Linked DNA regions of Xenopus tropicalis. The protein of the gene in region 1 interacts with the protein of each later gene in a pairwise test. Links are inferred from orthologs where the notes say so. Each region holds a gene or a part of one and is shown in the gene's direction. Other genes may lie near its edges. The genes, in order: clk2, ythdc1 and ece1.

Region 1 (7,174 bases):
AAATTAAACAAAAGTGGACCCAGTACAGAACCCTGAGGGACCCCACTGAGAACCTTATTCCAAGTAGAGAATGTACCATTAACAACCACCCTCTGTACCCGATCCTGTAGCCAGTTTTCTATCCATGTGCAAACGGCTTCACTAAGACCAATAGACCTTAGCTTAGAAAGCAGTCGTTTGTGGGGAACGGTATCAAATGCTTTGGCAAAATCCAAATAGATTATATCTACTGCCCCCCCCCCCCCTACTGTCCAAATACTGCCCCCCCACTGTCCGACTACTTCATCCCCAATGTCCAGCTTCTTACCTCATCATAAAAAGCAGATTGGTCTGACATGACCTGTCCTTCATAAAGCCATGCTGCTTCCTACCCATAATGCCATTCTCCAGTACATAATTCTGTATGTGATCCCTTAACAAGCCTTCAAATAACTTGCCCACCACGGATGTCAGACTTACTGGCCTATAATTGCCAGGCTGAGATCTTACTCCCTGTATAAATATAAGAATAACATTCGCCTTCCCCCAATGCATAGGTACCATACCTGATGAAAGCGAGTCTAATAGTTGCATGTATGGAGCAGGCTGACTCAGAGCCCGCTGGGGGCCAGCACCTCTAATACAGGGGGGCAGTAGTGCTGGGAAGGGAAGGCAGGCTATAGTTGTACGGGATTATTAGAAAGGTGGATAGGGGAATTTGGCACAAGGACCCTACGTGCTGAACTGTGTGTTGCCTGCCTGGTGCTAGGGTTCCGCATGTGGGGGAGCGAGTGGGCAAATTATTATGGGGGGCTGGGGAAGACCCGGCGGTTGGGAGGTCCTCAAAAACGATTTTATAAAACTAGGCGATACGTTACTGTGGATATATGCCCAGCTCTTTACCGTGGGTACCGGGGGATATGCGCCGGGCCCTGTACCGGGGGATATGCGCCGGGCCCTGTACCGGGGGAGGATGATGGGAATATGGGGCAGGACATGGGGCAATAATGCTATGAGTTCAGTGCTGAGTATGTGTATAGGAGCTGGGATGGGAGCATATATGGGTTTGAGCTTTGTGCTTGGGAGTGTAACGGGTTGGTTTGGGGGGTATGTGGGAATGTTGGGGGCCAGTGTGTATGATTAGCTCGGGGTGCGTGCTGGGTATATAATGATAGAATATATATTTGGTATGATTAGGGCCCCTCCCTCCCTCACTGTATGTAACCCCAGTAGCATGAAGACTGTAATACGTATATATTTGGGGGGGGGGGACCCCACAGTGTTGTTCCTGTTTTCCTCCCTTTGCATCGATGAAACAAAGCAGAATGTTTTTTCTTTTTTCTTTCCTTTTTTTATTTTTTTGATTTCTGAGTTAGTGTATTTGTATCTTGACCTGTTCCCTTGCAATATCCCTATCGTTATATATTCCTATGTGCCGTATGAATTGGCTGGGAATCTACTGCTCACCCTTCTACCTCAAAACAACCATGTGAATTTCCAAACCAACCCTACCAATGTGCCGCTGGTTTGAAAAATCTGATTGGCTGGCGAATGGTGATGCTTTGGCGGGGATGACGATGTGCTCACAGCGGAGTCGCCAGAGCAGCCGGCGGGCCAAGAGTGTTGAAGACGACGTGGAGGGCCACCTGATCTATCACAGCGGCGACTGGCTACAAGAACGATGTACAGCCAAATCGTAACATAATTTAGCTCTCTAGTTCTAAGACCCCCCCTTCCCCAGAGACGCTGCAGACCTGTCTGTCTTTTGTGTTTATTTTTTTATTTGGTTTTTTTTTTTTTGTTTTACATTTAATTTTAAAGAGAGAAACAAACGCAAAAGCCCTTTCCTCCTCCTTAACTCCTTTATTCTTTGTAAACCTACCACGTACAGTATGTTTATATGGCCAGGCAGCTAGTATATACTTCTCTATCTAGCTATAGGGCAGCGTGTCGGGGGCTCACAGCCTGACCTTGGCACGTGCGCCCGTAGGCAGATTCACTGGCACCGCCGGCAGTGTCCTGCTCCGTATTAATCCCGCCCCCTTTCTGCTTGCCCACGCAGATGAGATTGTGAGCACCCTCGGGGAAGGGACTTTCGGCCGAGTCGTTCAGTGCGTCGATCACAGGAGGTAAGTGCGTGTTTGTGTGTGGCGCCACCCGTCCCTTCGCCACGTGCTCCTGTCATGGCAGACGGTGTCTGAACATTTCATAGATATGGGGCCGAACAGCGGCCAGTAGGGACGTGCAGGTTGGCACGATACCCGCAGGTTAACCCACAGGTAGGGGGTGGGTTCAGGCCGATCTCAGCACATCAATCACGGGTCACTGACGGTGCTCTAATTTATAGGCGCAAGCCCTGCCCCTTTTGTGATGTCATTGCAGGGCGGGACTATAAATACAGGGAGGAAGCCAGTTAGGGGTGGGGGCAAGGATTTCTCGACCCGCAGGGCATAAATAAGTTGGGGGGAGTTACTTTGGGGCCACATATTGACTTGCACAATCCAGCTGTACTCTTAAAGGGGCGGTTCACCTTTAGTATGATATAGAATGGCCAATTCTAAGCAGCTTTTCAATTGGTCTTCATATTTTCTTTCTTCTAATTTTTGCTTTACTCTTCTGATTCTTTTCTGCTTTCAAATGGGGGAGGGTCGCTGACCCCATCTAAAAGTCACATGCTCTGCAAGGCTGCAAATTGTTATTGCAAGTTTTTATTACTCCTCTTTCTGTTCAGGCAGTCTCCTATTCATATTCCAGAGTCTTATTCAAATCAATGCCTGGTTGCTAGGGTAACTTGGACTCCAGCAACCAGATTGCAAAAACTGCAAACTGGAGAGCTCAATAACTCAAAAACTGCAAGACCAATTGCAAATTGTCTCAGAATATCACTCTACATCATATTAAGTTAATTTAAAGGTGAACATTCCCCTTTAAAGAGGTGTTTAACCGTTACACTGACTTTTAGTATGTTATAGAATGCCCTATTCCTAGCAACTTCTCAATTATTTATTTTTTATAGTTTTCAAATTATTTAGCTTCCTCGTCTACATTTCAAATGGGGGTCGCTGACCCCAAGAGCAAAAAACTATTGCTCTGTGAGCTTATAAATGTATTCATTTACTTGCACTATTCAGGCCCTCTTCTATTAATATTCCAGTCATTCGTTAAATCCACTGCTTGGTTGCTGGGGTAAGCAAGACCTTAGTGACAAGATAGCTACTGAAGTTCCAAACTGGAGCAAAAAGCTAAATAACAAACTACAAAACAAAAATTGAAAATCAGTTAGATAAATGTCTACATCATATTAAGAGTTAATTTAAAGGTGAACTACCCCTTTAAGAGCTGTGCATGTGGGGAGCAGAAGGGGGAACTGACCGCGTTGGGCACGTGAGAGCGTTCAGCTGTATTGTGCAGAGGCTGAGACACTGACCATAGAGCGCTTTTATATATTCTTACTGTATGTCTCTCCTCCTTGTGTGGCTTTAGGGGGGGAGCCAGAGTAGCATTAAAAATCATCAAAAATGTGGAGAAATACAAAGAGGCGGCTCGACTGGAGATCAACGTATTGGAAAAAATCAACGAAAAGGATCCGGAGAACAAACAGTAAGTCCCCGGGTGTGCGTCTGTCCCCCCTGGGCAGAACCCGTGTGAGTTGGGGGGTGGGGAGGCTTATCCAATTGAAACCCTGACGTACCCCGGTTCCTCCCCAGCCTGTGCGTGCAGATGTACGATTGGTTCGACTATCATGGACACATGTGCATCTCATTCGAGCTGCTCGGCCTCAGCACGTTCGACTTCCTGAAAGAGAATAACTACTTCCCGTACCCCATCCACCAAGTGCGGCATATGGCCCTGCAGGTGTGCCAGGCTGTGAAATGTAAGTGCCCCGCGGGGGGAAGATGGTATTATATTAGAGTGGCCCAGGCGGGTTGGCATTAGGGGCATGCTGGGCATACACGGGAGCAGGTTTGGGCACCAGGGGCAAGCTGGGCATACACGGGAGCAGGTTTGGGCACCAGGGGCAAGCTGGGCATACACGGGAGCAGGTTTGGGCACCAGGGGCAAGCTGGGCATACACGGGAGCAGGTTTGGGCACCAGGGGCAAGCTGGGCATACACGGGAGCAGGCTTTGGGCACCAGGGGCAAGCTGGGCATACACGGGAGCAGGTTTGGGCACCCGGGGCAAGCTGGGCATACACGGGAGCAGGCTGGGCACCCGGGGCAAGCTGGGCATACACGGGAGCAGGCTTGGGCACCGGGGCAAGCTGGCATACACGGGAGCAGGCTTGGGCACCCGGGGCAAAGCTGGGCATACACGGGAGCAGGCTTGGGCACCCGGGGAAGCTGGGCATACACGGAGCAGGCTTGGGCACCCGGGGCAAGCTGGGCATACACGGGAGCAGGGTTTGGGCACCCGGGGCAAGCTGGGCATACACGGGAGCAGGTTTGGGCACCCGGGGCAAGCTGGGCATACACGGGAGCAGGTTTGGGCACCCGGCGGCAAGCTGGGCATACACGGGAGCAGGTTTGGGCACCCGGGGCAAGCTGGGCATACACGGGAGCAGGTTTGGGCACCCGGGGCAAGCTGGGCATACACGGGAGCAGGTTTGGGCACCCGGGGCAAGCTGGGCATACACGGGAGCAGGTTTGGGCACCCGGGGCAAGCTGGGCATACACGGGAGCAGGTTTGGGCACCCGGGGCAAGCTGGGCATACACGGGAGCAGGTTTGGGCAAGCTGGGCATACACGGGAGCAGGTTTGGGCACCGGGGGCAAGCTGGGCATACACGGGAGCAGGTTTGGGCACCGGGAGACTGTTCCTCACTCGGATCTTCCCTTCCAGTTCTGCACGACAACAAACTGACCCATACAGACCTCAAGCCAGAAAATATCTTATTCGTCAGTTCTGACTATGAGCTTACGTACAACATGGAGAAGGTGAGTAGCCCCTCCCACCCTATCATTAGTACCCGCCCCGTATCGGGCTGCCGGCCGCTGTCTAACAACCCTTCCCTCTCCCCCCCCCGGAACTGCGCAAAGAAGCGCGACGAGCGGTGCGTCAAGAACACTGACATCAGGGTGGTGGACTTTGGCAGCGCCACGTTTGATCACGAGCATCACAGCACCATCGTCTCCACGCGGCACTACCGGGCGCCCGAGGTTATACTGGGTAAGGCTTCCAGCTGCCACCTACCTACCCCCCTGCATCTCATTGGCTGTGCTCTCTCTAACATGCTTGTCTCTTGCAGAGCTGGGCTGGAACCAACCGTGTGACGTGTGGAGCGTGGGGTGCATTATATTCGAGTACTACGTGGGCTTCACCCTCTTTCAGGTGAGTCACATAGACGTTCCCCGTTGTGGGGGGGGGGAGCAGTTAAGTTACTAGGAGCCCCCCATCAGACCTGATGCCTAATGTTGGGGGGCTTGTGTTGACTCCCCGTTCTTCTATGCGCCAAACCCCTGCTTCTGTTCCCCCGCAGACCCACGATAACCGAGAGCATTTAGCCATGATGGAGAGGATTCTGGGGCCCGTCCCATCGCGCATGGTTAGGAAAACCAGGTGAGCAAACTCTTCTTCCTCCTCCCAACCCCTCTCTCGTCTGTACTCAGGGGTGATTGTGCCCCAGGGAGGGGTATTTCTCTGCCTAAGCCCCCCCTATCGCTTCTCTGCCCCCACAGGAAGCAGAAGTATTTCTACCACGGGCGCCTAGACTGGGATGATAACACGTCCGCGGGCCGATACGTCCGAGAGAACTGCAAGCCCCTAAGGGTAAGCTCTGCCTGGCTGGGGGGGTCCCCCCTGTATGTGGGGGTACAAGGGGTAACGCTGTATCTATCTTACAGAGGTACATGATGATGGAGACAGAAGAGCACCACCAGCTGTTCAGCCTGATCGAGGGCATGTTGGAATACGAGCCCTCCAAGCGAATGACCCTGGCCGCGGCCCTCAAGCACCCCTTCTTCAGCCCGTTTAAGGGCGAGCCGGCACTTAAGCACTGGGACACTGGCCGGGACATCAGCCGATGATGCCCGCACACTGCCTGCACCGCGGGACGGCCCATTGGCCGAGAAAGCACTGCTGCCGGCGCTGCCGCCCCATGAATTGGCAGCCGGAACCTACGGTGCTTCTTCCTTTTCTACCTGAATGAACTGAAACCTTTCTTACATGTAAAGCTGTTAATATGTGAGATACCCTAAATATATGCCTATATAAATATATATATATATTCTGTACATGCCACGGCAGCACCCTGCACAGGCTGTCCTGTAAATAATACCCGCCTGTAACTGCCCCTGCCCGGGGTCGCTGCGGGGGCTGAGCTGCCCCCAATTCATAATTTATGTCAGTGTTAGGGGAGGGGGCAGCAAGCTGGTCAGATGTGGTGCCCGCGGGCATCGTCCTGTTTTTATAAGCTTTTGTACAGTCTTTGTGAGAAATAAACTCTACATGTTTGTATGTGGGATGCCCAAGGTGTGCCAACCTTTCTTTCTACCCGCTGTGTACCCGCTGTGTACTGAACCAGCTGAAGTAAAGCTTTCATACGAGCCCTGCGGCTTCTGCCTTCATTGTTATACAGATAGCTAGAATCTCAGCCATAAAGCAGGGCAGGACTGCTGCTTACAATGGGGGGATCAGATAGGATCTGTGCCACTGTGACAGAATGCTCTGTTATACAGATAGCTAGAATCTCAGCCATAAAGCAGGGCAGGACTGCTGCTTACAATGGGGGGATCAGATAGGATCTGTGCCACTGTGACAGAATGCTCTGTTATACAGATAGCTAGAATCTCAGCCATAAAGCAGGGCAGGACTGCTGCTTACAATGGGGGGGGATCAGATAGGATCTGTGCCACTGTGACAGAATGCTCTGTTATACAGATAGCTAGAATCTCAGCCATAAAGCAGGGCAGGACTGCTGCTTACAATGGGGGGGGATCAGATAGGATCTGTGCCACTGTGACAGAATGCTCTGTTATACAGATAGCTAGAATCTCAGCCATAAAGCAGGACAGGACTGCTGCTTACAATGGGGGGATCAGATAGGATCTGTGCCACTGTGACAGAATGCTCTGTTATACAGATAGCTAGAATCTCAGCCATAAAGCAGGGCAGGACTGCTGCTTACAATGGGGGGGGGTCAGATAGGATCTGTGCCACTGTGACAGAATGCTCTGTTATACAGATAGCTAGAATCTCA
Region 2 (6,818 bases), on another chromosome or scaffold:
ACAAATTCTGACTTCTTGAAAATTGATGCTTTGGTCCCACTAGGCCCAAGACCCAAGTGCATTTACTATATATATTCACATATATACAGTCATTTGTTCATTTTATTTTTTTTTTAATTTAAACAGGTTTTGTCAAGGATCCACGTTACCAAGAAGTAGACAGGTAAAATATTCTAATTCTTATGGTCTGTATTTGTTTGTAATTAAAGTATAGCAAGTTACTCATTTACTTTCCTTTTTTTTTTGCAGAAGATTCACTGGTGTTCGAAGAGATGTATTTTTAAATGGGGTATGTTAAGATAAATTACTACCTTCAAACATGTTTTTTGTCTTCCGTGGCTCTTAAACACCTTAACCTTCCTCCTGTACAAATTTCTATACAGGCCTGAACCCATTTTAATTGCAAATCTGTTAGGTAAATGTCACAATATTTGTTTTTTTGTTTTTTTTTCTTCTTTCAGTCTTACAATGATTATGTAAGGGAATTTCATAATATGGGCCCACCTCCACCATGGCAAGGAATGGTTGGTATATATTATATATATTTTTTGTGATTTTCATATTAGTCTTGTGAACATTGAAACCCATGTCATTAAAAAGCTTTTCCCAATTTTTTTTTAAGATATTTTGCTTGGTACCTTTTGGTGTTGTATTTCTCTGCACTTAGCTTCAGATTCTTCCCCTTAGCTGAAGAGTTGCTGACTCTTCTTGTGTCAGTGGACCTTGCCCAAACTAGTGAGGTCTCTGCATGCCTCTTCCTTTTTAGTTTCCATTGCATACTGTTAAGCTAATAGACTGAATTATGCCAGTTGGATCAATGACCTGCATGAATGGGGCCCTCTTCATTCAGTTCTGGACAGACTTCACTGACATACCTAGGGAGGAGTAGAAAAAGACATTTAAAGGAACAGTAACACCAAAAAATAAAGTTTTTTAAAGTAATTAAAATATAATGTACTGTTGCTCTGCACTGGTAAAAGTTGTGTGTTTGCTACAGTAACACTACTATAGTTTATATAAACAAGCTGCTGTGTAGCCCCGGGGGCAGCCATTCAAGCTGGAAAAAAGGAGAAACGGCACAGGTTACATAGCAGATAACAGATAAGTTCTGTAGAATACAATAGTGTTTTATCTGTTATCTCCTTTGTGCCTGTGCCTTTTCTCCTTTGAATGGCTGCCCCCATGGCTAAACAGCAGCTTTGTTTATATAAATTTCTGGGGCAAACACACCAGTTGTACCAGTGCAGGGCAGCAGTATATTTTATTCTTATTACTTTTATACACTTTCATTTTTTGGTGTTACTGTTCCTTTAAGGATCAGAGACAGCTTCAAATGTAGCAATATTGAGTTGCGGAAAGCTTGTTATTTACTGTCCTATTTGGTCAGTTGTCCAGATATGAGCATGAATTAAATTCCCATTTTTGACTGTGCCCATAACAAATGTGTGTAACCTGTGTAATGATACAAACAAATTCGTTATTTTGAACTTTGAAGTACAGATATGCATGCATGCAGTTATAGATCCACGTGTGCATTGCACACTTTACATGTTTTATAGTTTACTTGCTCACTATCTAAACTAAATGTTACTTTAGTGGCTTGGTATGCATATATTTTGGGATTGCGGGACTACTACAGCAGTGTCTTGTTAGCTCAAAGCAAGGTAATCTGAATTTACTGGCGAAAACTGTTCAGGTATGGCATGCATTTATTTCTATTTGTCCAGTATAGCATGTTGAAGAGCCACACACAATATTATGTTTTTATAAATTGCCAACATATTCTGCAGCGCTATACAATAAGTAATATACATGTTATAGAGTATTGTATCCTTTTATTTGCAGCCACAGAATGTGACACACAAGTAATGTTTTGGGAAATGGTGGCTGCAAACAATTTTCTGACTGTTTTGTCCAATCCATTATGCAGAGTGTGTTTGTGTGTATGTATGTATGTATGTATGTGAATGTATACAAAACCTGTAATATATCTGTGCAGTGGAAATCTAGTTTTCTGCCAAGAGCCAAACATGGGCTAGTATCCGTTTTCCTGTTTGTCCTGTTTAGGTTAAGAAATAACAGGCAAAGATATGCTCAGCACAAGCCCTATTCATTGCATTCATGTTCAACAATGAATTTTGCCCCGTTGAGTATGAGAAAATGTGGTCCTGTTACAAAACATTGCTGCATTACTTCATTTGTGTATTTTTTGCAAGACTAGCAAAGCTAATTTACCAAGGGCTAATTTCATCAGGTCTCATCTTTTACAACAGAATAGCGAACTGGCCCACAAATAATAATCGCCAATATACATTTTTCTATTTCTTTATCTTTATCATTATCTGATTTTCAAAAAAAACTTTTTTTTTTTTTTCTTTTTTGTTTAAAGCCACCGTATCCGGCAATGGAGCAGGCTCCTCATCATCCATACTATCAACATCATGCACCGCCACCTCAAGCACACCCACAGTTCTCAGGTCATCATCCGGTTCAACATGATGCAAGATATCGGGATAAACGGGTTGTAAGTTCAGTTATAATTTTTTTTTTTTTTAATGTTGCATTTGTTTTCAGTGTTTGATATAAATATGGTAGAGGCTAGCTGCTGGTGAGATTTTAAACAACTTTTAGCCATTTTAGGAATAAAAGGAACAGTTCAGTGTAAAAATAAAACTGGGTAAATAGGCTATGCAAAATACAAAATATTTCTAATAGAGTAAGCCAAAAATGTCATCTATAAAGGCTGGAGTGAGTGGGTGTCTAAAAGCCAGAACACTACTTCCTCTTTTTTGCTTTCTAACATCTGTTAGTCAGCAACAAAATGGGCAGGTAGTAAGTAAGAGCAATAGGCTTTTGTTTTTGAGAAGCCTTGGCATAATCAATCCCAAAGTTGATAGCCCTGTAGAGCTCAAACTCTAAATACTAATAGCAACGATTAAATTATACTTCTAGGTTTCTAAGAACACTAGTTCTTTTGTTATATTTGGTTGGAACAAAAGTTCTATACCAGTTACAGATTAGCAGTCATTTACAACGATCAGAGAGTGTGCAAAGTGCACTCCGCACTTCATTCTGATATTGTAGAATTGCTGCAAGTGCCCACACTGTTTTGGAGAGCAAAGACCCTTCAACTCTACCTTAGAATTGTAAAATTAAAAATTAAAATTGTTGCTGTGGCCAAATTTGGTCTGGCAGTTCTGACCTTACTGTCTGACTGTGTAGGCATGTAAAGTTGATTGCAATAATTTGGGTACTCCTTGCCAAATGAAATATTTAAATTTTTATAATTGAAGATCAGTAAACAACGACTGCAGGAATCTTGTGTTAACCAACATAGTTGCAAATGATAATGCACATTTTTAAATTTCACAAACATCAAAACATATGGCATGTGTACAGGTTTGGATTTTACTTTTTGCAAGGTGTCTGACACTAATTAGTTTAATTGGGCATAAAGGGGGTTGTAAACCCAACCGTAACACACTCCCTCATTTTAAGTGCAAGAGAACTGACCAATGAGTGCTGATTCTCAGCACTATAGTAGTCATCTTGTTGTTTTCCATATAGATAATTGTAATTTTTTTCCTTCATTAAATGACACTTGAATCAGACATGGTAATAGGACTGGTTTGTTCAGTGCTGGAAAACTGCATAATGCTTCCAACTCCAATTGCAGGAAGAAAGAACAGGGAGTCAAATTTACACAGATCAGATTTTCATTTAAGGATTTTTTGCATTTTAAAACAGTGGCTGGCTGTTTCTAAAATGATTTAGGAAAAGTTTGATTGTGCAATATTACTTTAAGAATACATCCTTGATATTGTTGGACTACGGCCCCCAGCAGGCCTCAGCCTTCATTATATGGTACATTATTCTGGGATTTGTAGTCAAGCAACAACTTAGTAAAGTTTGGCTGTGACCCGTTGACCAAATCCCTTGACAATGTAAACTTTTGGGGGCTTTCAGTCAACTATGCAACAACTAAAGAAAAAAAAAATGATACACTTGCAGTTCATAAAGTCCATTGTCAGCAGTGTCATTAAGAAATGGCAGGGCAAAACCTACTTGCATGCTGGCCACCATGAGCTACTTGAAGAAAAACAAGTTTAAGATTTTGAATGATCCTCATAGTCCCCTAATTGATTTACCCAAACTTCTGGATTCATTTGTATGCCAGATTGGGTCTGGGTTTCAACAAACCATTCTATGATCCTATTGGATTGCAGATGTTGTGTCCTGTTTTATATTTTAAATTTGCCGATGCATTGTGTTTGCATGGTGCTTTAGCAATTGAGGAAGTGAAGAGAAGCTGAATTTCTTGGATTTTCAGACAGCATATGTCCAAATTAAATTTGCATGATACGTGGTAAGAACTAGGAGAGGCACGTGCAATTTGTGAGGAGGAGTCCTGCTGCATTATAAATGGATTGAATAGCATAAGCTCCATTTCCTAATGTGCTTTTTTAGTATTGTATACTGCTTGTCTGTGTTGATCTAACTTCTTTATTTTTGTAATTCTAAAAGCATGATTATGATATGAGAGTGGATGATTTCCTTCGGCGAACGCAAGCTGTGGTGAGCGGAAGAAGAAGCCGACCTAGAGAGCGTGAAAGAGAGCGGGAACGTCCCAGAGACAACCGTCGAGACAGGGGCCGTGATCGTGATAGAGATCGTGAGAGAGAGAGGATGCGTGATAGGGAAAGGGGGGACAGAGGAGATAGGGGCAGATACAGGAGATAAATTCCTTGGCCAACACTGGTTATGTCCTCTCTGAAATTTACCTTCATATTTTCTCCTTACGCGTGTTTACAAAATAGTGACATTTCTGTTCAGTTTGTCGAATGCTTAAGCAAAAGAGAATACTGCTCATTTTATATCATTTGAACCTCTGTTGCGCACGTGTGTATGAAATGGAGATTTATTAAAATGGCCAAAAAAAGATGCAAATTAAAAAGCCTATACTAGTGCAAAGAAATAAACTTGTCTTTGGTTAATTGTTCATCTTAGCGGTATTTCATACCAGCGTTTTTGTTTGTTACTCCATGGGCCGTATTGCATATACCCTGTTTTCAAAGGCCACTGATGAAGTGGTTTGTTAACTGCCTTCACAGATTTCCCTGTTCCTTTTGTAGTTAGTGAGGATTCTGTGAATATAATGCTGCTATGAAGTATGCAAATTCTGAAGTTATGGGCTGATGAACATATTGTAGACACCCTTCTGCCCTTTTATCCTTGTACTATTTGGCAATGATGAAAGCAATACTGGAAAGCCTGTTGCCTACATTTTTTTTAAACACTTGCATCTAAATTTGTACCTCTTCACTTTTTCTCAGTTGCAGACTTGTGGAGAATGCAAGCAACCTATGTGCTAGAAAAAATATTTTGACCATGTTTTCTCCTGCTATCATTTTGTACCTGGCTGATAACAATGTAATTTAATTTGTTACTGCAGTGGTTTTTTTAAGCCATATGCTAGCAGTTACGATATTTCCTCTGCTACAAATGCACCTCTTATTTTGTGTAGTCTTGTACCATTATGCGTTATTTTGTGCAGTTTTATAATAAAAGCCACTGTGATTATTAATGCATAGTGTTTTTCTGACTCCATGTAAGAACTTTACCTGCTAATGGAAATTGTGCAGTCTGAAACTGTAAGCAATTAGGGCTGAAATAAAAGGTTTACCTTTTTAAGATGTCAAAAGCTAGAAACAGCTTAAATTCCTTGTACCAGCTTTCAAGTAGTGAACAGGAAAGAATCACTACTTCTCTTAAATCCCCTTTTACTAGGAAATATTCAATTTGTTCAGTCCCCCTTCCCAGCTAATAAAGTTTAACAGTTGCATGAAAACCATGCTATAACAGTTGTAGTTTCAAGACCTTCTAGGGCAGCAAAGCGGTTATTACCTAAGATCTCCTCCTAGATGTACTTTCAGGGTTATCTTGAAGAGCTAATAAGTATTCAACCCAAATCTTTTTTACAACAGACTTTCCTGGCCTTACAAGGCTAAAGGTATTGGATTATGTAAAAATGCAATTTTCTAGGCAGCAACCCCTCTAATTGGATTTTATAGAGGTCCCTATAAATTTTCAAGTGATCACAGTAAGCTTACTTTAAGTTTTGGAAACCACTGCTTTAGAATTTATTTTACAGATGTTAAAATGAATACAGCAGCACCCCACCCTTATTAAATATGTAGATAAATATGATAAAATATTAAAATTTTTAAAAGGAACGTTTATGTATATTTTTATTTTTCCTGTCCCACTTTTTGAGTCATGAGTATTCCAATCAAAGGTGGTTGGCCGCAACTTTTTGAATTAGGCCATCTGACTATATAGCAGTAATATTTGACTTGTTTTCCATGTGTAATACATGGTTTGGTTGCTGCATCAGTTTTAACTTTTCTGCATCTGTCTGGTTTCTAGGGTCAGTAATGCCAGGCTGCCACAAAGAATCATTCTGAGGCTTGGCTTCCTACTCTGAACCTTTCCTATTTATCTTTGGTAATTCACACCATTGTCTAGTTTATTAGGGTAGACAGGACCCCAGCACTCAGATTCTCCGATTTAATTTCTAATCAGGACAAAACTTTAAGTAATAAAGAAGAAGAAATGAATGACCGATAAAATGTAATTCTAAAGCTGGCCTTACAGAAGTATAATCCAATAGTTTATTTACCCTGCAGCAGTGTTAACAAGCTTGCCACATATCTGTCTGTTTTATCTACTATCTTTAACTACAAAAATTATTGAAGAGACTTTGCTTGAAGCACTGCTAAGTGGTTATGGATATCTTTCCCATATAGGCCAGAATGGCC
Region 3 (8,124 bases), on another chromosome or scaffold:
ATCGTGGGAATATTATAGCTGCTCCCAGTTAAAGGGGTGGGTCGGGGTATCGGCCAGTATCATGGGAATATTATAGCTGCTCCCAGTTAAAGGGTGGTCGGGGTATCGGCCGGTATCTGGGGAATATTATAGCTGCTCCCAGGTTAAAGGTGGGTCGGGGTATCGGCCGGTATCATGGGAATATTATAGCTGCTCCCAGTTAAAGGGGTGGGTCGGGGTATCGGCCAGTATCGTGGGAATATTATAGCTGTTCCCAGTTAAAGGGGTGGTCGGGGTATCGGGCCGTATCATGTGAATATTATAGCTGCTCCCAGTTAAAGGGGTGGGTCGGGGTATCGGCGGTATCATGGGGAATATTATAGCTGCTCCCAGTTAAAGGGGTGGGTCGGGGTATCGGCCGGTATCATGGGAATATTATAGCTGTTCCCAGTTAAAGGGGTGGGTTGGGGTATCGGCCGGTATCATGTGAATATTATAGCTGCTCCCAGTTAAAGGGGTGGGTCGGGGTATCGCCCGGTATCGTGGGAATATTATAGCTGCTCCCAGTTTGAAAGGGGTGGGTAGGGGTATCGGCCGGTATCGTGGGAATATTATAGCTGCTCCCAGTTAAAGGGGTGGGTCGGGGTATCGGCCGGTATATGGGAATTATTATAGCTGCTCCCAGTTAAAGGGGTGGGTCGGGGTATCGGCCGGTATCATGGGAATATTATAGCTGCTCCCAGTTAAAGGGGTGGGTCGGGGTATCGGCCGGTATCGTGGGAATATTATAGCTGCTCCCAGTTAAAGGGGTGGGTCGGGGTATCGGCCGGTATCATGGGAATATTATAGCTGCTCCCAGTTAAAGGGGTGGGTAGGGGTATCGGCCCCGTATCATGGGAATATTATAGCTGCTCCCAGTTAAAGGGGTGGGTCGGGGTATCGGCCGGTATCATGGAATATTATAGCTGCTCCCAGTTAAAGGGGTGGGTCGGGGTATCGGCCGGTATCGTGGGAATATTATAGCTGCTCCCAGTTAAAGGGGTGGGTCGGGGTATCGGCCGGTTATCATGTGAATATTATAGCTGCTCCCAGTTAAAGGGGTGGGTCGGGTATGGCGGTATCGTGGCGGAAGTATTATAGCTGCTCCCAGTAAAGGGGTGGGTCGGGGTATCGGCCGGTATCATGTGAATATTATAGCTGCCTCCAGTTAAAGGGGTGGGTCGGGGTATCGCCCGGTATCATGGGAATATTATAGCTGCTCCCAGTTAAAGGGGTGGGTCGGGGGTATCGGCCGGTATCATGGGAATATTATAGCTGCTCCCAGTTAAAGGGGTGGGTCGGGTATCGGCCGGTATCATGGGAATATTATAGCTGCTCCCAGTTAAAGGGGTGGGTCGGGGTATCGGCCGGTATCGTGGGAATATTATAGCTGCTCCCAGTTAAAGGGGTGGGTCGGGGTATCGGCCGGTATCGTGGGAATATTATAGCTGCTCCCAGTTAAAGGGGTGGGTCGGGGTATCGGCCTGGTATCGTGGGAATATTATAGCTGCTCCAGTTAAAGGGGTGGGTCGGGGTATCGGCCGGTATCCTGTGAATATTATAGCTGCTCCCAGTTAAAGGGGTGGGTCGGGGTATCGGCCGGTATCATGGGAATATTATAGCTGCTCCCAGTTAAAGGGGTGGGTCGGGGTATCGGCCGGTATCGTGGGAATATTATAGCTGCTCCCAGTTAAAGGGGTGGGTCGGGGTATCGGCCGGTATCGTGGAATATTATAGCTGCTCCCAGTTAAAGGGGTGGGTCGGGATATCGGCCCGGTATCCTGGGAATATTATAGCTGCTCCCAGTTAAAGGGGTGGGTCGGGGTATCGGCCGGTATGGGAATATTATAGCTGCTCCAGTTAAAGGGGTGGGTCGGGGTATCGGCCGGTATCATGGGAATATTATAGCTGCTCCCAGTTAAAGGGGTGGGTCGGGGTATCGGCCGGTATCGTGGGAATATTATAGCTGCTCCCAGTTAAAGGGGTGGGTCGGGGTATCGGCGGTATCGTGGGAATATTATAGCTGCTCCCAGTTAAAGGGTGGGTCGGGGTATCGGCCGGTATCGTGGGAATATTATAGCTGCTCCCAGTTAAAGGGGTGGGTCGGGGTATCGGCCGGTATCGTGGGAATATTATAGCTGCTCCCAGTTAAAGGGGTGGGTCGGGGTATCGGCCGGTATCGTGGGAATATTATAGCTGCTCCCAGTTAAAGGGGTGGGTGGGGTATCGGCCGGTATCGTGGGAATATTATAGCTGCTCCCAGTTAAAGGGGATTGGGTCGGGGTATCGGCCGGTATCATGGAGATATTATAGCTGCTCCCGTTAAAGGGGTGGGTCGGGTATCGGCCGGTATCATGGGAATATTATAGCTGCTCCCAGTTAAAGGGGTGGGTCGGGGTATCGGCCGGTATCGTGGGAATATTATAGCTGTTCCCAGTTAAAGGGGTGGGTCGGGGTATCGGCCGGTATCGTGGGAATATTATAGCTGTTCCCAGTTAAAGGGGTGGGTCGGGGTATCGGCCGGTATCATGGGAATAATATAGCTGCTCCCAGTAAAGGGTGGGTCGGGGTATCGGCCGGTATCATGGGAATATTATAGCTGTTCCACAGTTAAAGGGGTGGGTCGGGGTATCGGCCGGTATCGTGGGAATATTATAGCTGCTCCCAGTTAAACGGGGTGGTCGGGGTATCGGCCGGTATCATGGGAATATTATAGCTGCTCCCAGTTAAAGGGGTGGGTCGGGGTATCGGCCGGTATCATGGGAATATTATAGCTGCTCCCAGTTAAAGGGGTGGGTCGGTGGTATCGGCCGGTAACGTGGGAATATTATAGCTGCTCCCAGTTAAGGGGTGGGTCGGGGTATCGGCCGGTATCATGGGAATATTATAGCTGCTCCCAGTTAAAGGGGTGGGTCGGGGTATCGGCCGGTATCATGGGAATATTATAGCTGCTCCCAGTTAAAGGGGTGGGTCGGGGTATCGGCCGGTATCATGGGAATATTATAGCTGCTCCCAGTTAAAGGGGTGGGTCGGGGTATCGGCCGGTATCATGGGAATATTATAGCTGCTCCCAGTTAAAGGGGTGGGTCGGGGTATCGGCCGGTATCATGGGAATAATATAGCTGCTCCCAGTTAAAGGGGTGGGTCAGACTCTGGGAAGGAATGAGTTAATGAGGCTGATTGCTGATTGGCCGGCTAACCCATATAAAGAGGGGAGGGGGAGGGGCGGGTTGCTCACAGAGGGAGGCTGGGTTTGGGGGTACCTGTGCAGCTGCTGAGCCCCTCACTTCTCTCCAGGTGAGTTTAACTCTTTCCTCCCCAGTGTCTCCTGGCAGCCTCCCCTGATAGGCAGAGACACAGGTATCCATGGAGATATGGGCCCCCCCTGCCCCCAGTACAGGGAACATTACTGTGCATAGGCCCAAATATATACTGATAATGAGGCTCCTCCCATTTATGGGGCAAAGTGTTAATTAAGCCCATTCCTATGAGGAGACTGGGGGGGCAGTATAGGGAGACTGGGGGGGCGATGCGGCTATAGGGAGACTGGGGGGCGGTATAGGGAGACTGGGGGGGCAGTATAGGAGACTGGGGGGGCGGTATAGGGAGACTGGGGGGCAGTATAGGGAGACTGGGGGGGGCAGTATAGGGAGACTGGGGGGGGCAGTATAGGGAGACTGGGGGGGCAGTATAGGGAGACTGGGGAGGGCAGTATAGGGAGACTGGGGGGGCAGTATAGGGAGACTGGGGGGGCAGTATAGGGAGACTGGGGGGGCAGTATAGGGAGACTGGGTGGGGGCAGTATAGGGAGACTGGGGGGGCAGTATAGGGAGACTGGGGGGGCAGTATAGGGAGACTGGGGGGGGCAGTATAGGAGACTGGGGGGGCAGTATAGGGAGATGGGGGGGCAGTATAGGGAGACTGGAGGGGGCAGTATAGGGAGACTGGGGGGGCAGTATAGGGAGACTGGGGGGGGCAGTATAGGGAGACTGGGGGGGGCAGTATAGGGAGACTGGGGGGGCAGTATTGGGAGACTGGGGGGGCAGTATAGGGAGACTGGGGGCAGTATAGGGAGACTGGGGGAGGCAGTATAGGGAGACTGGTGGGGGCAGTATAGGGACACGGGGGGGATAGGGAGACTGGGGGGGCAGTATAGGGAGACTGGGGGGGCAGTATAGGGACACGAGGGGGCAGTATAGGGAGACTGGGGGGGCAGTATTGGGAGACTGGGGGGGCAGTATAGGGAGACTGGGGGGCAGTATAGGGAGACTGGGGGGGCAGTATAGGGACACGGGCGGGGCAGTATAGGGAGACTGGGGGGCAGTATAGGGAGACTGGGGGCAGTATAGGGAGACTGGGGGCAGTATAGGGAGACTGGGGGGCAGTATAGGGACACGGGGGGGCAGTATAGGGAGACTGGGGGGGAGTTATAGGGACACGGGGGCAGTATAGGGAGACTGGGGGGGCAGTATAGGGACACGGGGGCAGTATAGGGAGACTGGGGGGCCAGTATAGGGAGACTGGGGGGCAGTATAGGGACACGGGGGGGCAGTAGGGAGACTGGGGGGGGCAGTATAGGGACACGGGGCAGTATAGGGAGACTGGGGGGGCAGTATAGGGACACGGGGGGGCAGTATAGGGACACGGTGGGGCAGTATAGGGAGATGGGGGCAGTTAGGGAGACTGGGGGGGCAGTATAGGGACACGGGGGGCAGTATTGGGAGACTGGGGGGGCAGTATAGGGAGATGGGGGCAGTATAGGGACCGGGGGGGCAGTATAGGGAGACTGGGGGGGCAGTATAGGGACACGGGGGGCAGTATTGGGAGACTGGGGGGGCAGTATAGGGACACGGGGGGGCAGTATTGGGAGACTGCGGGGCAGTATAGGGACACGGGGGGCAGTATAGGGAGATTGGGGCGGCAGTATTTGGAGACTGGGGGGGCAGTATAGGGAGGGGGGGGCAGTATAGGGACACGGGGGGGCAGTATAGGGAGACTGGAGGGGGCAGTATTGGGAGACGATGGGGGGCAGTATAGGGACACGGGGGGGCAGTATAGGATGTAGGGCAGTATAGGGACACGGGGGGCAGTATAGGGAGACTGGGGGGCAGTATAGGGACCACGGGGGCAGTATAGGGAGACTGGGGGGCAGTATTGGGAGACTGGGGGGGCAGTATAGGGACACGGGGGGGCAGTATAGGGAGACTGGGGGGGCAAGTATAGGGACACGGGGGGGCAGTATAGGGAGACTTGGGGCAGTATAGGGACACGGGGGGGCAGTATAGGGAGATGGGGGGGCAGTATTGGGAGACTGGGGGGCAGTATAGGGAGACTGGGGGGCGTATTGGGGACTGGGGGGCAGTATAGGGAGACTGGGGGGCAGTATTGGGAGACTGGGGGGGCAGTATAGGGAGACTGGCGGGGGCAGTATAGGGACACGGCGGGGCATATAGGGAGACTGGGGGGGCAGTATAGGGACACGGGGGGGCACGGAGCTGGCAGGGGCGGGGCACGGAGCTGGCAGGGGCGGGGCACGGAGCTGGCAGGGGCGGGGCACGGAGCTGGCAGGGGCGGGACACGGAGCTGGCAGGGGCGGGGCACAGAGCTGGCAAGGGGCGGGGCACATAAATACAGACCTGTGGGTTTTACATTATAAATAAGTTGTTTTCTCTTTAAACTGAGATTTTATTTAAAGGGGAACTTGTCCCTCCCCGAGTCCCGGCCAATCCGCTTCCCAACATTCCTATTGGCCCAGTAATCCCTGCGGGTTCCTATAAATGCTGAGAGGGCCCCGGCACCTCCCACAGACTTACCCCGGTGCCCTGGCACTGCCCCACCTGTTAATATTATACCCCCCCCCCCCCAGCCAGCCAATCCTGGCTCCCCCACAGTTTGCTCAGGGAGTTCCTATTGGTTAGTAAGTTATTTATGGGCAAATAGGGCTCCTCCTCTGTTCCATGGGCCCATTCATGCGCTGCTGCTGGGGTTGCTGGGAGTTGTAGTTTGACAGCAGCAGTCACCAGATCTTCTCGTTACACTGCTGGGAACCAACCGGCACAATCCACTCCGGGGCACGTAACATGGGGCAGTCTCTGCTGGGGGGGGGGGGGTATCTGGGCTGAGGGCCCGGGGAATCTCGTAGAGAAACAAATTTACATTACATGCATTTAAAGGGGAAGTTAACCTTTTATTGTGATTATATTGTGTCATTATCAGTCTGTGGTTTGTCTTTAACTCAGAATATTACCTGGTTGCTAGGGCCGCTGCCTGTGGAAACCAGAAAGCCTTTGGTGAGGCCAGGCCCCCTCCTAGTCTTCAGGGTAGGGGCTTTTATACAGAGCCCCAGCAGTAGGTGGCACAGGGGCCTCACTTGTCCCAAGAGCTTGCAGTCTAGAAATCCAATAAAAGGTGTCGCCCTGTAGTTTTCTGTCTTTATATCTAAGACTCTGAGTCCTCAGGAGAGAGAGGGGGTATTTACTCTGGGCCTTTATCAATATACCCCTGGGGGGGCAAATATAGATAAGTGGGAGGGACCTGCATTGGGAGAGATGATGCATCAGAGCGGATCCTGATTGGATACGGACCGGTTTATTTCGCTGACATCACAGAGAGATTAAAGCGAACACTGATTGGCTGCTCTGTCCCTCTCCGTCTGGCCAATGATTTTCATGAATTGGATCTGCCCCGCCCCCTGTTTCCCTGGAGGCTTTTCATCCTACTAAATTGCTGCTCCAGTCTGGGCCTTAGGGGCAGGGGTAAGCTTGGGGCACAGAGACCCTGGGGCACCCCATGTGTGGGGTGAGGGGGGGCAAGGGTGCCAGAGGGATGGGGGGCAGGGGTGATGGAGGGGTAAATAGGGGCAGGGGTGATGGAGGGGTGAATAGGGGCAGAGGATGGAGGGGGGCAGGGGTGATGGAGGGGTGAGGGAGGGGTGAGGGGCAGGGGTGATGGAGGGGTGAATAGGGGCAGGGGTGATGGAGGGGTGAATAGGGGCAGGGGTGAGGGGGGCAGGGGTGATGGAGGGGTGAGGAGGGGTGAAGGGGGGCAGGGGTGATGGAGGGGTGAATAGGGGCAGGGGGTGAATAGGGGAGGGGTGAAGGGGCATGGAGGGGATAGGGCAGGGTGATAGGGGCAGGGGTGATGGAGGGGGATATAGGGGCAGGGGTGAGGGGGAGGGGGGTGATGGAGGGGTGAATAGGGGCAGGGGTGAATAGGGGCAGGGGTGATGGAGGGGGGAATAGGGGCAGGGGTGAATAGGGGCAGGGGTGGAGGGGGGATGGAGGGTGAATAGGGGCAGGGGTGAGGGGGGAGGGGGCAGGGGTGATGGAGGGTGAATAGGGGCAGGGGTGAGGGGGCAGGGGGGCAGGGGTGATGGAGGGGTGAATAGGGGCAGGGGTGATGGAGGGGTGAGGGGGGCAGGGGTGATGGAGGGGTGAATAGGGGCAGGGGTGATGGAGGGGTGGGAGGGGTGAATAGGGGCAGGGGTGAGGGGGGCAGGGGTGATGGGGGGTGATGGAGGGGTGAGGGAGGGCAGGGGTGATGGAGGGGTGAATAGGGGAGGGGGTGAGGGGGGGCAGGGCTGATGGAGGGGTGCCCCCCATCAGTGTAACCTCCTCGGTTCTAGGATGAGTCCATTCTCCGTCAGGGCCGGGGCAGTAAAGCAGAGGTAGTTCATTTACACTGGGTTCTGCCCCATTAGTAGAAGAGCTGGAGGGAGAGGAGGGGCAGTAGGGCCGACACCAGCGTTAGGGAGGTTCTGGCGCCGTAACTCTCTTTGCCAGACGTGCAGTGGTCCTGGTTCTGCCCAATACAGGCCGCGTAGGCCATGACGTGGGGGATATAGTTCTGTTCATGGACCCCGTGCAGGAGGTGCGCCATTGGGCCCTTGGCAAACACCGCCACGTCCTCCCCACCGTGGGTTTCCATACGGAGCGGCACCGCCGACTGGGCCAGGTAGTTGGGGTGGGCTGCAAATGGGAGAACAACTGGGTCAATGGGGGGTCCGACAGCGTTATACAGTCATGTAAAGGGCAAATATAGTGATTATTTCCTCTATAAATGTATCGGCCTCCCTGCTACATTGTGTCAGGAGTCAGTACAGCCAGT

Evidence for each region.
Region 2: the proteins of clk2 (region 1) and ythdc1 interact in binary tests that used the Homo sapiens proteins (3 or more experiments, as listed by UniProt). The two-hybrid records come from large-scale screens. The link is inferred for Xenopus tropicalis from reciprocal best matches to the Homo sapiens genes CLK2 and YTHDC1.
Region 3: the proteins of clk2 (region 1) and ece1 interact in binary tests that used the Homo sapiens proteins (3 or more experiments, as listed by UniProt). The two-hybrid records come from large-scale screens. The link is inferred for Xenopus tropicalis from reciprocal best matches to the Homo sapiens genes CLK2 and ECE1.

The regions. Positions count from the first base shown.
Region 1 is NC_030684.2:146,285,999-146,293,172, reverse strand, and holds the end of clk2 (dual specificity protein kinase CLK2), read left to right. Parts: intron 1-1,568; coding exon 1,569-1,662; intron 1,663-2,041; coding exon 2,042-2,108; intron 2,109-3,462; coding exon 3,463-3,579; intron 3,580-3,686; coding exon 3,687-3,853; intron 3,854-4,818; coding exon 4,819-4,913; intron 4,914-5,015; coding exon of another isoform or gene 5,016-5,018; coding exon 5,019-5,145; intron 5,146-5,224; coding exon 5,225-5,307; intron 5,308-5,455; coding exon 5,456-5,535; intron 5,536-5,654; coding exon 5,655-5,745; intron 5,746-5,819; coding exon 5,820-6,002; 3' UTR 6,003-6,432; downstream 6,433-7,174. UniProt on the Homo sapiens protein: Dual specificity kinase acting on both serine/threonine and tyrosine-containing substrates. Phosphorylates serine- and arginine-rich (SR) proteins of the spliceosomal complex.
Region 2 is NC_030677.2:82,570,490-82,577,307, reverse strand, and holds the end of ythdc1 (YTH domain-containing protein 1), read left to right. Parts: intron 1-126; coding exon 127-163; intron 164-249; coding exon 250-289; intron 290-461; coding exon 462-524; intron 525-2,389; coding exon 2,390-2,524; intron 2,525-4,524; coding exon 4,525-4,740; 3' UTR 4,741-5,584; downstream 5,585-6,818. UniProt on the Homo sapiens protein: Regulator of alternative splicing that specifically recognizes and binds N6-methyladenosine (m6A)-containing RNAs.
Region 3 is NC_030683.2:132,700,211-132,708,334, forward strand, and holds the start of ece1 (endothelin-converting enzyme 1), read left to right. Parts: upstream 1-3,242; 5' UTR 3,243-3,315; intron 3,316-7,636; exon of another isoform or gene 7,637-7,713; coding exon of another isoform or gene 7,714-7,985; intron 7,986-8,124. Other genes in the region: alpl (alkaline phosphatase, tissue-nonspecific isozyme), read right to left, coding at 7,714-7,985. UniProt on the Homo sapiens protein: Converts big endothelin-1 to endothelin-1.